Linked DNA regions of Sus scrofa. The protein of the gene in region 1 purifies or fractionates together with the protein of each later gene. This does not show direct contact. Links are inferred from orthologs where the notes say so. Each region holds a gene or a part of one and is shown in the gene's direction. Other genes may lie near its edges.

Region 1 (3,647 bases):
CTCCCTCACAGAGCAATAGTGGGAGGAACAAACCATGTCACAGCAGCTTTGCCAAGAGTGAACTAAACTTAACTCGGAAGGTGGTTCTTTTCCTATCTCCTGGTAAAAATCTTTCCTTCTCCAGCTTCAGATCTAGCTATTCCCTCAACTTATATATAATTGTTTTTTGGTAAATTTTACTACCTACAACTTCTATAGTTTACATTTTGATTGCTTTAGTAAAAATATTTTTTAAAGTAAACCTTTAGGGAGTTCCCGTCATGGCGCAGAGGAAACAAATCGGACTAGGAACCATGAGGTTGCAGGTTCCATCCCTGGCTGCGCTCAGTTGATTAAGGATCTGGTGTTGCTGTGAGCTGTGGTGTAGGTCACAGACGCAGCTCAGATCTGGCATTGCTGTGGCTCTGGTGTAGGCTGGCAGCTATAGCTCTGGTTTGACCCCTAGCCTGGGAACCTCCATATGCCTCAAGTGCGGCCCTAAAAAAAATTTTTTAATTTTTTTTAATTTAAAAAAATAAACTTTTAAAGAGGTTTTAACTTTTCACCTTGAGCACGTTAACACAAAACAAGCCAGAAAACTTAAAGAAAAGACACATTCACTAGAAAACAGAGCCCCTCAAAAAGGTTTAAAGATTGTTCATTGCAGTAATATGCTGATAAATGTTCAACTGTTCAACTGGTTTTTTGGGGGTTTTTTGTTTTGTTTTGTTTAACTTTATGGCTGCACCCAAAGCACATGGAAGTTCCCGAGTCAGGCACTGAATCCGAGTCACAGTCACCTACGCCATAGCTGCAGCAACTCTGGATCCTTTAACCCACTGCACTGGGCTGGGGTTCAGACCCTCACCTCCACCTCGACGCAGGCTGCTGCAGTCGGATTCTTAACCCACTGTACCACAGCAGGAACTCCTCAACTAGTTCTTAATGATGTGTGTGCGCATGTGTACACATTATAAATTTTATTGACATAAAGATGATGTGGCACACAATTGCACAAGTGATAATAAACAATAGTCTTTATTGTAAATTCCATTTGTTCTCACAGAATGAGCCAACTGTTCTGACTGAATGCTTTCACTGGTTTTTGCTGAGCATTTATGTCCCTAGCCAGTGTATGGTTACGACTGATGAATGAACCAACATAAGGAATGGATAAATGCAACCAATGTGAATATTGATTAACATTTTCATTTAAGTTCACTAATTAGAAAAAAGTGATTCAATGAAGATATGTATATTGGAATTTCATTTCTTCATCCATGATGTGAGCAACTCCTTTGCTGAACTGGATAATGATTTTCAAACACTGGAAGAATATTTCTGATTTTTCTGTGTGCTAGTCCCAATGTAATGGCTACAGACAGGATGCACTGTTTAGTTTAATCTGCTTTAGTACCCTTTCCTCCACTGTTTTCTTTTTTGTTGTTGTTGGTGGTGGTGGTGGTGGTGTTTTCTGGGTTTATTCCTCCTTGTTCCTTGTTCCAAGTAAACGTAGGCCTATTTCACTCCACATCCATGGCCTGCACACTTTCTTCCACCAGCTCCAGGGTCAGCGGCATCACTGTCTGGGACAGGACAGCTGTGGTCCCAGGGGCAAAGCGATACTGGCTGGATCTGTTGTTCTCTCCTCCCTTAGCTCCAAATGGTCCTCTCTGAGTTTTGACCTCTCCATGCAGTCCAAGCTTTGGCATTGACAGTGGTCTGTTGGAATTGCACTTCTCCACCCTCACCCCACTGGCTCCTCCTTCTGCACTCAGTCATCACCTCCAAAATGCTTTTCCTGACCTCCTGATTAGGCCAGGGTATCTCTGCGTTTCCTCAGCTCTCCAGCTTCCCACCAATGCACTGCGGAGTGGGGGACAGGTGTCGCTCACCGTCATGTTCGGCTGGAACCAATCTAGCACTGCCAGGGCGCATCTTGGCCCGAGCCTAGGGCCATGAAGGGCAGACAGCTGTAGGACCCATGGGGGTGCACGCTGTAGAGCTGCGGTCCTGTGAAGTCTACACCGCCCACGATCAGCGACCCGCCCACCATCAGCGACCCGCCCACCATCAGCGACGCGACGCGCCCACGTGGCCGTGGTGCCATTTCCGCAAGTGGGCGCAGTCAGCCAAACAAACCAGGACCCAAGTCCTTCCCCTCCACGTCACGGTCCCTGCACCCGAGCCCCACCCCTTCTCGTGGTCAAGAGCCCCGTGACTGACCTCCTCCACTGTTTTCTTAAGTCTGGAGCAGAAACTAAGCAGTAAATCATGCCCTAGTTTGTTGCATTTGCCAATTTCTCTGGTGTAAATACTCCCACCCTGGCCGATTTTAAGACCCACAGTGTTGGAAAGACTTTGTACATCATTACAAAGGATGTACACAGTAGACAGAAATAACCTCTAGAGCACAGACAATAGTAAAGTGTCCCCCCAAATTAGAAAATGATTAGTTTTGAGTCTCTATTGCCATTGTGTTTTAATATACTTTATTTCATTGTAAGTTTTTCACAACATCATGAAAATTTTCCACACGTGGTTACAGGCCAGCTCCAGCTTTAGCTTACCCCTTGTCCATGTATGTTCCCCTCACAGGTCGGCTTGGGAAGCCAAAAATTACTCGGAGTTTAATGACATCTATGAATGGCACCTGTAATGTCACACTGACATGCTCTGTGGAGAAAGAAGAAAAGAATGTGACATACAGTTGGAGTCACCTGGGCAGAGAGGGCAATGTCCTTCAAATCTTCCAGACCCCTGACAACCAACACCTGACTTACACATGTACAGCCTGGAACCCTGTCAGCAACAATTCTGACTCCATCTCTGCCCAGCAGCTCTGTGCAGGTAACCAGCTGTGTCCATCTCTCCCAGAGCCTCAGAAATCACCCTGACCCACTGCAAGGCTTGAATCTGGGCCTTGTTCTCCAGAGGAAGGTGTCTCCCTTATGCCAGGCTTGAACCCGGGGTGGGGGTGGGAGGGCTTCTCCTCCTGAAAGCTCTGGAAAAGAGTTCAAAGCCTTCTGGGTAATGCCAGGCATTCCAGGGTGTTCTAAGGCAGCCCCCTGCTCGACTCCCTGATTCGGTTTCTGATCTTATTTTTAAGAGCAGAAAGCACAATTTCCTCGGTGTATTGGCACACCCCTGGAGGGCACCCAGTATGGATAGTGACCCTGAGTGTGGACAAGCTTGCCCAGCCTCATGGGCCTCTTCCCTGTGAGTCACATTTCATTGCATCTTCTATTTCCAGACATCGCAGTGGGCCTCCAGACTCGCCACCCTGGGCTGCTGAGTGGGCTGGCTGTGCTCTCTGTGTTTATAATCATCATACCTTCAGTGATTTTGTGTCTTATGTACAAGAGAGGACAAGGTAGGATCTTCTCAGAAGGTAAAAAGTGGAAAGGCACCTTCCTTCTTCCTGGGACTGAAGTCATTTATCCAAGGTGGGTGGGCTGGAAATGTCCTTTGTTTCAGGGAATCAGCCTTCCTAACAGTCCCCACCGCACCACCTCACCATCTCCCAGAGAGATGGCCCTGGGGTCTGTATAATGTTACACTGAATGGTCTTCAAAATCTATTGCTGGGGGATTTCCTCCTGTGGCTCAGCAGGTTAAAGACCTGACGTGTTCTCCCAGATGATGCAGGTTTGATCCCTGGCCCTGTTC
Region 2 (4,136 bases), about 1.9 Mb from region 1:
AAGAATATCAGTTGACTAAGTAGAAAAAGCTCAGCAGAAAAAAAGAGGTTTTCTTACCCATGCCAGGTTTCGCATCTACACAGGCTAAGTGTTCCTAACCGGATAGACTTTCTTCATAAATACACATCACTGCTGTCTCACAGGATGGAAAATTCAAAGGACCTGAGGCTATTCAAACCCAAGCCTAATATACTCTTTTCTTCCACCTGAAGAAGCATTCTTGCACTAATTTTGCATATCCAGATGCCCCTCCCACCTGCTCCAGCTCCTTCCCCAAAATGCACAATGCTAGAGGATGTTAAAAATGGCCTTTGTTGAGAGTTCCCATTGTGGCTCAGAGGATTATGAACCCAGCTAGTATCCATGAGTATGAGGGTTCAATCCTTGGCCTTGCTTAGTGGGTTAAGGATCTGGCATTGCTGTGAGCTGTAGTGTAGGTCACAGACATGGCTCAGATCCTGCAGTAGCTGCAGCTCCGATTTGACCCCTAGCCCGAGAACTTCCACATGCAGCAGGCACAATCCTAAAAAGCAAAAGAAAAAAAAAAAAAAAAAAGAAAGAAAGAAAAGAAAAAAAAAGAGACCTTTGTTCACCAGTAGCTAGGAGCCTTAGCCAAGGGATCCTCCCCCTGACTAGATTCCCTCGCAGTGTCCAAATTCTTTTATTCCCATTGTGGTCTTCCATTTTTCACGTCATTTGATGCATGGGTGTCCTACCTTCTCAATAGTACCATTATGCCTGGACATACCTGAATTTATTCAGTGTCTGAATACTTTTTTTTTTTTTTGTCTTTTTTTTGCCATTTCTTGGGCCGCTCTTGTGGCATATGGAGGTTCCCGGGCTAGGGGTCTAATCGGAGCTGTAGCTGCCAGCCTACACCAGAGCCACAGCAACGCAGGATCTGAGCCGCGTCTGCGACCTGAGCAAGGGCAGGGACCGAACCCGCAACCTCATGGTTCCTAGTCGGATTCGTTAACCACTGCGCCACGACGGGAACTCCCCCTGAATACTTTTTGAGCACCTGCTCTGAGGTAAGCACAGCATAATCACTGGCAGCTTCAGCAGAAAAAGCCCAACCATTGCAGCAAAAGCAGTGGTGTGATCCCTGGAAGGGATGCCATAAGCCAGAAAAAGTCAAAAAATGGTGATTTAGGATGATATCCAAGGCTACTACCCAGTTCTGGAGAATTTGTTTTTGGCACTGGGCTTGAGCCATGAACATCACTGATTACACTATATATTCAAATGTAGTTTCACCCACTTCTATGAGTCACACTTGGGTCACTTATAGGCAGAAAAGTTTTGGCCATTTCACCACCCCACCTCTGTCATTTCCTGAATCTTGTGAAATTATCTGAGTCCCACAGAGCAAACTTATCTGACTGCCACCAGCCAGAGGAGCACGAGGTGTTTCCACAGGCCTCATTAGGCCAATTGTCTCCACTTTTCTCCTCAGAGCCATCCCTGGATTTGGGACGGGATTTCAAGAATACAAGAGTCCCCCATGGATTTGCCTTACTACCACGGCCCTCTGTCCAAGAGAGACTGTGAGACCTTGCTGCTCAAGGGAGGGGAGGATGGCAATTATCTGTTAAGGGACAGCGAGTCCATGGCAGGAGTCCTGTGCCTCTGTGTCTCGTGAGTAACCTCTTCATCCACATTTTTGGAACCTTATGTTGAATGCAGGACCGATCACCAAGGAGGAAAGAAGTTGTCCTTCACTGACTTTGCAGCATGAGAACTAGCTAGACGCTGCCAGAAGGGGATGGGATAAATGGGTCTGTCTAGGCTCCTCCACCTGCCCTTCTCTCCTGGGTGCAAATGCCACATGAGCAGGCTCTGTGGAGCAGTAGAGATGGGGGACATGGCAAGGAGAAGGCCTACAGGAGGTCTGGGAGGGGAGCAGGGAGGCAGAGCAGGTAGCCGTGTGAAGAAAGTCCTTCCCTCCAAATGTCTGTTTAGGATGGAAAAGGCTAGGTGCCTTTTATAAAATTTTAAAATGAGAAGCCAAGTGTTTGCATGTATTCTGCTGGCTCCCCTGGTGATTCTCAAATTCCATTAGATTTGTAAAAGACTTCGGCCTACCTCCTTCCCTTTTATCCTGCTTGTAGTCTGTCAAGGCAAGCCACCAGTTTGTAGGGAAAGAAAGAGAGACCTGGGATTTCTCAAGCAACTTGTGTTAAAATTCATCTGGTGTTTCCAAGGAGGCTGAGTTCAGTAGGAGGTTCCAAGCCAGAGCATCAGAACTACTCTGCTGAAAGAACGTGTTTAGCCCAGTTTAGAAAGCAATCGTGAATAGATATCAGGGGGAATCGACTTTCTTTAAGGATTCTTCTCCTTGTGGGGACCTTGAACTTTTTATTTACCTGGTATAGGAATTAAAACCCAAGTGTCTCTGTGGATGTGCTTCTGTCCTTCTGAAGCTCTGAGGACAAAAGCGACTGTCGTTACTAACAGAATAGGCAGTGATATGTTTCTTTCTTTTTATGATACTGGGAATACAGATATAAAAAAGGCATCCCTAAGGCACTAGCAGTTTGAATTTTCAGGCTAAAAGTGATGTTGAGAGTGTTTTCACATATTTTTTAAACATTGCTAATTCCTCTTTTGAAAATTGCATGATCATACGCTTTACTCGTTTTTAGCCTGAGTTGTTTATCTTCCTTTTACTTATTTTTTTTTTCAATATCAATGCATGGAGGGAGAAATATTTTTTCAAGAAAAAAAGACACACACATGAAAGAAAACTACAGACCAATTTCAATTTAATTTGCTATCAACTGTCTTTTTTTAAGGGCTACACACAGGGCATATGGAAGTTCCCAGGCTAGGGGTCAAATCGGAGCTGCAACAGCCAGCCTACACCATAGCAACACAGGATCTGAGCTGCATCTGTGACCTACACCATAGCTCACGGCAACAATGGATCCTTAACCCAATGAGTGAGGCCAGAAATCGAACCCCCATCCTCATGGTTACAAGTCAGATTAATTACTGGTGAGCCACAATGGGAACTCCCATTTACTATCAATTTTCAGTAAATTACTAACAAAATAGAAGTCAGTAACACATTAAAGGAGAAAATACACTATGCTCAAGCATGGTCTAATCCAAGAAATCAAGAATGGTTCCATGTTAGGAAAATTATTAGTTTAATTACATGTTAATAGGTCAGAGGTTACAAACTACATAGCTCATTCAAATTTTCTTAGAACATATTAGATATTCACCATCCACCCTCAACTAAACACATTCATGCACGCACATGCATGCACACACTTAAACACTTCTAGCCATATGAAGCTAGATAGATGCTTCCTTAAACAAAGGCCATATGAATCACCAGAAGAATAACCCCTAAAACCATGAATATACAAAAACGTTCATTGTAAGCCCTACTATGTAACATTTTCCAGGAGATATTAGAAAATCAAAGAAAATAAATGTAAAAATTGAAATGGAAATATGAAATTATTATTATTAGCAGTTGAAATTATTTTATACCTCTAAAGTCTAGATTTAACTAAAAACAAACTAGCAAAAACTTTAGAAAAATTCAATAAGGATATCTGCTTCTATAATTGAAATTTTTGCATATTAAAAATTGTTTATTACCCTGACATATTTTTTATCAGTTTACTTATTTTTAATAAGGTATAGTTGATTTATAATGTGCCAATTTCTGCTGTACAGCATAGTGACCCAGTCTCTCTCTCTCTCACTCACACACACACACACACACACACTCACACACATACATTCTTTTTCTACTATTATCTTCCATCATGTTCTGTCCCAAGAGTTTGGATATAGTTCCCTGCTATATATAGTAGGACCTCCTTGCTTATCCATTCTAAATGTAATAGTTTACATTTACCAACCCCAAACTCCCTGTCTATCTCACTCCCTCCCCCCCACCCCCGCCTTGGCACAAGTCTGTTCTCTATATCTGTGAGTCTGTTTCTGTTTCGTAGATAAGTTCATTTGTGCCATATTTTAGATTCCACATATAAGTGATATCATATGATACTTGTCTTTCTTTCTGACTTCTTCACTTAGTATGAGAATCTCTAGTTCCATACATGTTGCTGCAAATGGCATTATTTTTTTTTATGGCCAAGTAGTATTCCATCGTC

Evidence for each region. Proteins that work in one complex are often made in the same cells at the same time.
Region 2: the proteins of CD84 (region 1) and SH2D1B purify together in Homo sapiens (affinity purification with western blotting; 3 studies listed by BioGRID and IntAct, with this or other methods). This does not show direct contact. The link is inferred for Sus scrofa from reciprocal best matches to the Homo sapiens genes CD84 and SH2D1B.

The regions. Positions count from the first base shown.
Region 1 is NC_010446.5:89,952,621-89,956,267, forward strand, and holds part of CD84 (SLAM family member 5), read left to right. Parts: intron 1-2,577; coding exon 2,578-2,829; intron 2,830-3,232; coding exon 3,233-3,352; coding exon of another isoform or gene 3,353-3,425; intron 3,426-3,647. UniProt on the Homo sapiens protein: Self-ligand receptor of the signaling lymphocytic activation molecule (SLAM) family.
Region 2 is NC_010446.5:88,096,214-88,100,349, forward strand, and holds the start of SH2D1B (SH2 domain-containing protein 1B), read left to right. Parts: upstream 1-1,320; 5' UTR 1,321-1,504; coding exon 1,505-1,638; intron 1,639-4,136. UniProt on the Homo sapiens protein: Cytoplasmic adapter regulating receptors of the signaling lymphocytic activation molecule (SLAM) family such as CD84, SLAMF1, LY9 and CD244. In SLAM signaling seems to cooperate with SH2D1A/SAP.